Neurospora crassa OR74A: one gene and its partner. Each later gene encodes a partner of the first gene's protein in a complex. Links are inferred from orthologs where the notes say so. Each region holds a gene or a part of one and is shown in the gene's direction. Other genes may lie near its edges. The genes, in order: gnb-1 and gna-1.

What was found.
Region 2: the proteins of gnb-1 (region 1) and gna-1 are in contact, whole or in part, in a cryo-EM structure (PDB 7AD3), measured with the Saccharomyces cerevisiae proteins. The link is inferred for Neurospora crassa OR74A from reciprocal best matches to the Saccharomyces cerevisiae genes STE4 and GPA1. Residues at the interface, in NP_014855.3 of Saccharomyces cerevisiae: Asn85, Gly90, His91, Asn92, Lys94, Ser104, Gln112, Asp113, Phe115, Leu117, Ala122, Ser123, Leu125, Lys126, Gln127, Asn128, Ala129, Gln135, Trp136, Leu138, Leu154, Asn155, Asn156, Arg168, Cys182, Tyr183, Asp224, Leu226, Ser248, Asp272; in NP_011868.1 of Saccharomyces cerevisiae: Thr7, Gln8, Thr9, Ile10, Asn20, Lys21, Ala23, Asn24, Ile27, Glu28, Ser30, Leu31, Gln32, Glu34, Lys35, Asp38, Lys43, Thr301, Gly302, Ile303, Glu305, Leu318, Arg324, Ser325, Glu326, Lys329, Trp330, His332, Cys333, Phe334.

Annotation. Positions count from the first base shown.
Region 1 is NC_026503.1:3,863,163-3,867,538, forward strand, and holds the start of gnb-1 (guanine nucleotide-binding protein beta subunit), read left to right. Parts: upstream 1-1,278; 5' UTR 1,279-2,121; coding exon 2,122-2,248; intron 2,249-2,354; coding exon 2,355-3,073; intron 3,074-3,153; coding exon 3,154-3,363; intron 3,364-3,430; coding exon 3,431-3,451; 3' UTR 3,452-4,376. UniProt on the Saccharomyces cerevisiae protein: Implicated in the a- and alpha-factor response pathway. The beta and gamma chains of the putative yeast mating response pathway G protein play a positive role in initiation of the mating response.
Region 2 is NC_026503.1:1,614,150-1,618,610, reverse strand, and holds the start of gna-1 (heterotrimeric G protein), read left to right. Parts: upstream 1-1,353; 5' UTR 1,354-1,747; intron 1,748-2,207; 5' UTR 2,208-2,281; coding exon 2,282-2,399; intron 2,400-2,497; coding exon 2,498-2,840; intron 2,841-2,898; coding exon 2,899-3,455; intron 3,456-3,514; coding exon 3,515-3,558; 3' UTR 3,559-4,461. UniProt on the Saccharomyces cerevisiae protein: Alpha subunit of the heterotrimeric guanine nucleotide-binding protein (G protein) that mediates mating pheromone signal transduction.

The DNA of each region.
Region 1 (4,376 bases):
AGCGAACATTTACGACCCCAAGTCCGTCCGGTGGAGCCAGTCCGTGCACATGCATTTGCGTGGGCCGTCTCCGCTCTCCATCGGCGCAAAGTGCAATTCGTCCGCGGGGCCTTGCTGTCCGCCCGCTTACACGTCCCAAGACCAGGGCACTCACTGCAAAGAAGCAGGGTGACCAAGTCCACAGAGAACCCACAGTCTCTTTAGCTTCCACCTCCTGGCTTTTCTTGGTGGAGGTCTCGTCAGTCGGCGGGATATTCTTTGCATCCACTCTGCGAGAAGTCGACATGCGCCCATCAACCACGGGGGAGGAGCTGCACCCGAGGAATGGGGCGCAACGGAGCCTTCAATTTCAGAGATCCATGACTCCGGTGCCTTCGGCCAGGCTTGTTGAAGAGCTTGGCAAGATTTAACTCGTTTTCTTTCTTCCTGTTCCATCGGGGGTGCGGTGCGGTGCAGTCCGGTGCGGCGTGGCTAGTGCGAGGTGTCCATGTCCGCCGTTGAAATGTTGAAGATCAGAATCAGAGGGCAAGAAGTCGAAATAACTGCCCCAGCTTCAAGGTTCACAAATCCCTTTACTCCCTTCTCAAAAGTCCCGTCTTGTTCCATCATCCAAGCCCTTCGGCCCGCCATCCAGCCCGCTGTCCGCCGACCGGGCTCTCCTGTGTTATGGATAAAAAATCGTGAATTGGGCGATCTCTGGGGGTGGCAGGGCCTTCATACCCAAGATGGCAGCTTGTACAAGAAATAACAAGTTTGATCATTCTCAAACAGAAGATTTCTGTAAAACCACTAGCGCCTTGGCTGTACCGCGCTGCTCTTTTACTACTATGTATGTACTATGTAGGTGTAAACTAGGTATATTCATGCAGACGTGTGTAGTGTAGTGTGCTCGCTCCATTGGGGAGGTTTGCTGCACGCATCATCCATCCCGTCCATTGCCTGGGAGACCCGACTGGACACCAACGAACCTGGAAAAACCGAATCCGTTCCTCTGTACCTAGTTGTACACCACAACCTCAATCTGCACTCGCTTCCGCTTCCATTGACACCCGGCTCTTGGGGCTTTTCACTTCCACACTGCTTCACAGGACGACGCTTGACACGGCCTCCATTCCTTCCACCTGCCCCCAAGCGTAGACGTACCCGGACACTAGTACAGGCTAGGTAGTACAGGTAGACCCAGTGCAGGCCTCCCGTCACTCTGTGAGGAGGTTCCGCTCTGCCCCTACAGTAGAGTACAGTAGCCCAGTGCAGTGCACGCAGCGACCCAGCAAAGGCTCCATCGTGCTACCCCCCGACCGGGCCCCTCCCCCCGGGCCCATACCCAATCTGGCACCAGGTAATAATCGCAAGGAAGAGGAACTCTGGCCAGCCTCTTCGTTCGCCAGTTCGATTCGGCCGCCCGCCCACTCGCAGAAGCGAAATCGATCCCCAGTCCTTCTTTTTCCCCTTCTTTCTGTTCTTCACCACCGAACTCCTGTCGATTAGCGACAGCCTCTCCAACTTGCTTTTACGACCTGACAGTCACTCGCGTCGGTCGCGTCGCTCGAGACTCTCTTGTCCATCACTGCCCTGCCACCCTCTCTCGAAAGCTGACGCCACGCACGCCTGCCTTTAGTCTCCATACTCTAGGTTGTCAGGGTCGCTCTTCGCCTGGTCAATATCCGCCATCCACTCATTCGTTCGACAAGAGTCTGTCCGTGGACAAGCAAGAGGCTTTTCCCCCCCAATCCCTCTCCACCACTCTCCTCATTTTTTCCAACAGCAGTCATTTCGTTCAGAGCAGGATCGGGACCTGCCTCGCCTGCCTAGCTGTTTGAATTGGCCCACCACCGCATCGCCCGACCCCTGGAGCTAGCAATTCCTCCTCCACCGGCGCCCCGTACCAGCACCACTGCTTTGCACCATTCTCAACATCCACACTCCAGCAACCGACTCCGACTTGCTGCATCTCTGAAGATCCGACGTCCCTAGAGTCCAACCTTTGTCATCGTCATTCTCCCTGTCTCAACCAGTCACAACAACATCACTTCGGAGTAGTCCGTCCCTCATACGAGTTCGTCGCCAATTGTGATTACGAATTGAACCAACACACCTCAAGAAAAAAAAAAAAAGAGAAAGATGGACTCCCGATCAAGCGATGTGTCGCCAGAGGCGATGCAGGCACGAATTCAACAAGCGCGTCGCGAGGCCGAGAATCTCAAGGACAGAATCAGGCTGAAGAAGGAAGGGCTCGCCGATACTTCCCGTGAGTCCCCTTGTCGGCAGGTCGCGAACTGCGCCGTTGTCCGCCCATGCATGCCGTCGTCAACGGCGGATTGACCGCTGCATAGTGTTGCTGACATGATGTGTAGTCTACGAGGTCGCGCAACAGGCCCATGAGCCACTTCCGAAGAACAACATGATGAAAACAAAGAAGACGCTGAAGGGCCATCTGGCCAAGATTTATGCGATGCACTGGTCTACCGACCGGAGGCATCTTGTCTCAGCATCTCAGGACGGCAAGCTCATCATCTGGGACGCTTATACGACCAACAAAGTTCACGCCATTCCCCTACGATCGTCTTGGGTTATGACTTGCGCCTATGCCCCGAGCGGCAACTTCGTTGCCTGCGGTGGTCTTGACAACATTTGCTCTATTTACAACCTGAACTCGAACCGTGATGGCCCAACTCGTGTCTACCGGGAGCTTTCAGGTCATGCGGGCTATCTCTCTTGCTGCCGTTTCATCAACGACCGCAGCATCCTCACCTCCTCCGGCGATATGACATGCATGAAGTGGGATATCGAGACAGGAACAAAGGTTGTTGAGTTCGCCGACCATTTGGGCGACGTCATGAGCATCAGCTTGAACCCCACAAACCAGAATACCTTTGTGTCAGGTGCTTGCGATTCTTTCGCTAAGCTTTGGGATATCCGCGCTGGCAAGGCCGTACAAACATTCGCTGGCCACGAGTCCGATATCAACGCCATCCAGTTTTTCCCCGATGGCCACTCTTTCGTAACGGGTTCCGATGACGCTACTTGCAGACTTTTCGATATCCGCGCAGACAGAGAGTTGAACTGCTATCGCGTGAGTAACCTGTGGATTATTCTCCTCTCGGTTCTTGATTTTTTTTTCTCTTGGTGGCTTTAGAGCTAACATTTGGGTAGTCCGAATCTATTCTTTGCGGCATTACCTCTGTCGCGACATCAGTCTCTGGACGTTTGCTCTTTGCCGGTTACGATGACTTTGAATGCAAGGTCTGGGATCTTACTCGCGCTGAAAAGGTTGGCTCTCTCGTCGGTCATGAAAACCGTGTCAGCTGTCTGGGCGTTTCCAACGATGGAATAAGTTTGTGCACAGGCTCTTGGGACTCCTTGGTAAGTTTCTACCCGCAACATCAGATCGATATGGTACAGGCCGCAGATTAGACTAACTCCCTCACAGCTCAAGGTCTGGGCATATTAGGCGCATGTGTGATACTGATACGACCGGCACCCTCTGGATACCCGACCACGACGCGTCACTTTGCCAAGCCTATCGAGTGCTTTTTTCTATTTGTTCTATTCAACCTGGTAACGCCTCTTGATCCTTGCGATTTGGCGTAGACAGGACGAAGTCACGACATATTTTTCGACCCAACAATCTCGGCTCCCCGGGCTTGGACCATCATCAACTGGCCTTGCTCCCCGGTTGGAATCCTTTTTAGCTTCTATAGCGGTTTTTCCGATACTCCACTCGATTTGCTGCGTCATATTTTCAGCGGGTTCAGTTCGCAAGGTGGGCGGCAGCGATATCCTGGCTTTGTTCAGCTCTCCGTACGCCAACCCGCCTCTCCCCTCCAGAAAACGTCCCCCCGGATAATATGATCCGACACGTTCATCAACTTCGGGTCGCGTAATTCCCCGGGCATTATTACAGGGACGTCTGTACCAGGTTTTTTGGACCCGGTTTGGCTGGAGCAGAACGTCCAATAATCATCAAGGTCTGGCTCGACGGGTCGTATCATATTCCACATGAGTGGTTGCCAGTGTCTCTCACAGGGGTTGTGTCTTGAACCAGTTTACCGGATACCCTCTCTATACGTATTTATCCACATCTTTGCGCGCATTTTCTCAGCGTTTGGTCTTTCTCTAGTCTATTACCGGCGGGGTGGGTAGGAAACCGTCAGGGTGTCTATTTTCACGTGTGTTGATAAAGTAGGCCGGGAATGCAAAACGGTCCCTTTGTCTTGTGTTTTTCGCGAGAAAGAGGCGGGGATCGGCTCACGAGTGGCGACGGTAAACAGCAGTTGCGGTAAAGGCTTTGGGGGAGGTACCATACCCTTTTTCTATTTCCCCGATTTTTCGTTAGGCAAAGGGTGTATATCGTGGGGATCTTACCTATTCTGTCA
Region 2 (4,461 bases), about 2.2 Mb from region 1:
AGATGGAATGAGAAGGGGATTATCCTCATAAGCCTCGTTTCCCAATCGCTGAACCGTATCGCACATACACAAAATCCGTGCACGACGTGATGTGCTCAGCGGCGTGATACCATATCAATTGTAGAGATTCTCATGGTCTTTCCCGTACCTTTGCTGATACGCTGTTGCTAATTCTGGCCCGGGACAGTTCAGTGGGTTTCCAACATCTTGTTTTTGCAATCACTCAATCGGTCTCGTGTTGACAGAAGCCATTAATCGCAGTGACTGCGCATTCGTAGCGCATGTAGTAGTGTTGTGTGTACGAAGTCGGTAGTGTGTGTACGGAATATGGAGATGTTAGCGAGGTAGGCACTACACTACGCAGTACATTGCTTCTTCTTCTTCTTCTGTTCCTGACCCGGAGGTACGGACGAAACGGGGCTCGACACGGCTCCAGCGCAAAAACATGGCCGCGTTGGGATGCCGACTAGCCTTTGCCCAGAGATCCACTCTTTGAGCTAAGTCAGGAGAACCAAGAAACATGAAAACTGGAAACGCTTTTTTTCATTCGACCGACAATGGCTGTTATCGGCTGGCCAAATTTCAAACGGTCAGGATGGGCAGTCTTGGGGTAAAATTCGCCCACCGCCATGTGGCCATCCCCTTGGTGATCGCATGGGATGGGCCGGACTGGAGCGAGGAACTGGAGCAGAAAAGGGCGATTGTCGAAATGCAAAGGGTGATGATGGTGGCCAGTGGTGTCCGCCGTTTTTGTTCCATTCCATGTCATGCCAGGTACGGATGCCACTGGAGGCCAGGCCAGGGGCACACGTCGGGTGGGCGATGGATCAAAATGGATAGAGAGGGTCTCGAAGGGGGTGGGCGATGTTACGCTCTTTCCACCGTCGACGCGGTGCATGAACATGAACAGCAGCCTAGAGTAGCATCCACTCACAATGTTTGGAACTAGGAAGCCAGGCACAGGGCAAGGCAGCCAGTCGCAAAGCAACCTCAAAGGGCAAAGCCGTGTTATCAAAAAAAGAGGTTCAAATAGGACGAAAAGGGTCAATGATGGTCGTACAGGTCGGCATCCAAACGAGGAGGAGGAGTCCATCGTCCCAACTCCCAAGACCGGCAGCCCAGGGTCTGTTGCATTGGCCCACTTGCATGCACGCAACGACCGCCTCTGATTAGCCAGAGTGCCATCGCGGCTGGAGCCCATCTCACCTTGGAGAGTGCGCGGTGGGTCTCTGCTGGGTCGCTGCCCCCGAAATTCACTGATGGAACTGGGACTGGAAATCGGAGTGCCGTCTAGCGTAGTGCCTGTACTGTGCGCCTGCCCGATGCCTGTACGCACTACGCAGTCAGCACCTACGCATCAGTGCTGGAGTGTGCCTGGTCGCCTGGTTTGGGTCTGGTGTGAGAGTGCGCACCATTCCATTTCACTCACATTAACACCGACAAAGCCAACCTCCCATTCCTCCACCAATTCCCCAATCTTTCCCTTCCTTTCGTTTTCCGTTTTCCGGCTCGACAACCTTCCTCCCGCAAACCGCGAATTGCTGAGAGAGTCCAGCAGCAACTCTACTCTTGGCCGCCTACCTCGCGACAATCACCTACCTATCGTATGGTCTTGACGACTTTCTAATTATCGAGCTGCACCCGTCTCTCCCTTTCGCACCAACCGATCCGACGCTCCCCTTCCAATCAAGTGCGGTTGATTGAAGGCCTAATTGCAATTGCGTGGTATACTGCCGGAAAAAAAAAAGTGAGTAGGTTCGCAACATAAGCACTTCATTCAGTCCAGTCCACCGCAAGAGAACGAACGCCTTTGCATCCCATTATCCTCTGGCCTCGTCGTGCTGCCCTCAAAGGCTGTCTGTCCTGTTTGCTGCCCATCAATCGCACCTCACCGAGCGCTGCCATGCCCAACAATCGACACCTTCGAAACTGCATCGACCATCGAGCCTCGATCCGACATTTGTTTGCGGTTTCAATGGGCGCAATGACAGCGACTCCGAGGCTTTTCGGGGGTGGTGGTTCTAGCTCGTTTCTGGAAGGGCACCCGCTATTTTTCGCAGCGGAGACTCCAACTGGACTGCCTCCCGTCCCCCCAGAGACCAGGGGGTTCTCGCCCCCCCTAACACTTACAAATACAAATCGCCTGTCGACGTCCCAGTTCGTCTCAATTATCATCGCTCTGATACTAACCTCAAACTCGTCACCAGACCGTCGATAATAATCCCCGAATAACGAAACAGACACTCTCTATCATTGCTACGAGCTACAACAAGTCGCCAAAATGGGTTGCGGAATGAGTACAGAGGAGAAGGAGGGCAAGGCCCGGAACGAGGAGATTGAGAACCAGCTCAAGAGGGATCGCATGCAACAACGCAATGAGATCAAGATGCTTCTTCTGGGTATGTCATGCCCCCCGACAAGCCAATTGCTGGCGCGGCCCTGGTCCGGACCCTTGGGTCACCAATGAAATTTCACAGAAGCTGACAATATGTTGCAGGTGCTGGTGAATCCGGAAAGTCGACCATCTTGAAGCAGATGAAGCTTATCCACGAAGGAGGTTACTCGCGCGACGAGCGCGAGTCGTTCAAGGAAATCATCTTCAGCAACACTGTGCAGTCCATGCGTGTCATTCTCGAGGCCATGGAGTCCCTAGAGTTGCCACTCGCCGATCAGCGCGTCGAGTACCATGTCCAGACCATCTTCATGCAGCCCGCTCAAATAGAAGGTGACGTGCTGCCTCCTGAGGTTGGCAATGCTATCGAGGCCCTCTGGAGGGACGCTGGCGTCCAGAGCTGCTTTAAGAGGTCAAGGGAATACCAATTGAACGACTCGGCAAGATAGTAAGTCTCCGCATGATGAGGGAGGCTCTGGTCTCCAACCGCTAACATGCTGTCACAGCTACTTCGATAACATCGCTCGTATCGCCGCGCCCGACTATATGCCCAACGACCAGGACGTTCTGCGATCACGTGTCAAGACAACCGGTATTACGGAAACGACCTTCATTATTGGCGATCTTACGTACCGTATGTTCGATGTCGGTGGCCAGCGTAGCGAACGTAAGAAGTGGATCCACTGCTTCGAGAACGTCACCACCATTCTTTTCTTGGTCGCCATTTCCGAGTACGATCAGTTGCTTTTCGAAGATGAAACCGTCAACCGTATGCAGGAGGCCCTTACTCTGTTCGATTCCATCTGCAACTCCAGGTGGTTCATCAAGACATCCATCATTCTTTTCCTCAACAAGATCGATAGGTTTAAGGAGAAGTTGCCGGTCAGCCCGATGAAGAACTACTTCCCCGATTACGAGGGTGGTGATGACTACGCTGCCGCTTGCGACTACATTCTCAACCGCTTCGTCAGTTTGAACCAGCACGAGACCAAGCAGATTTACACGCATTTCACATGCGCGACGGATACCACACAAATTCGTTTCGTCATGGCTGCGGTCAATGGTATGTTATTTGTCTACTTCGAAATTTTGCGTGGACAAGAAGCTAACAGACCAAAACAGATATCATTATCCAGGAGAACCTGCGTCTCTGCGGTTTGATTTGAGCACTGAACGCAATCTTTCTAATTTTTTCATCAGTTAATGGGGCTGTGAGGTCCGGACAAGCGGTTGATACCGATCAGAACTTCGAGTATTGCCGCCCAGTCGCTGCCGCTGGCTCCATGCCCACAGTTTCTGCCTCCAGATTATGATCTAGTGGAGGTGGCGTGGGCTTTCGAGTGGATATGAGCTCTACATACACCTCGGGGCGTCCCTGGAGAAATTGCATTTGAGAAGCATCATCAAGAGGGGGGCTAACTATTTTGTTTAATCATGATTCCCCATCGACCTTGGAGTCTTTGCTCTCTATCGGTGTTCTGTACGATTTCTTTTTTTTCTATCATCTTTTCTATCCCCTCTGATCCGGGCGCTTTTCACCTTGCTCTTTCTCCTCAGGGACACCGCGGCTGCTACGGGAAGCAAAAGCCCCTCTCAACAAAAGAAATGGATGATTTTGGCGTGCGTGCTTTTCTCAATCTTACTCGGGTGTTTTTCCATGAGTGGTGTGGGAGAAAGTAATGGGATCCAAGCCCATGGGTTCTGGGGAGAGGATGCTGGAAACAAATAGGTCGCTACCGATTGGAGGGAAGGTAGAGAAGGGAAAGGCGAAGAAAGAGCAGGGGTTACCAAAACCACGACGGACGAAGAGATGAGCGACGCCCGTTTCGTTCCGCTATTCTCCCCTCTGTGGCTGTAAGAGGGCAAAGAAAAACAGAGGGCGGGAAACGTTGCGGCGCGCGCGCGCGTGCAGCAAACGATATACCAAGACAAGCGAGGTCTCTTTTCCTTTTTTTTACTCTACTTCTTCTGTTTTTTCCAAGAAAGCTTATTCGCGTGATGTGTTATCTTTGTTTTTGCAGGCGGCGTGGGAGAGGGGAGCAATGGCGGTCCCGGTTTCCTATGGGCAA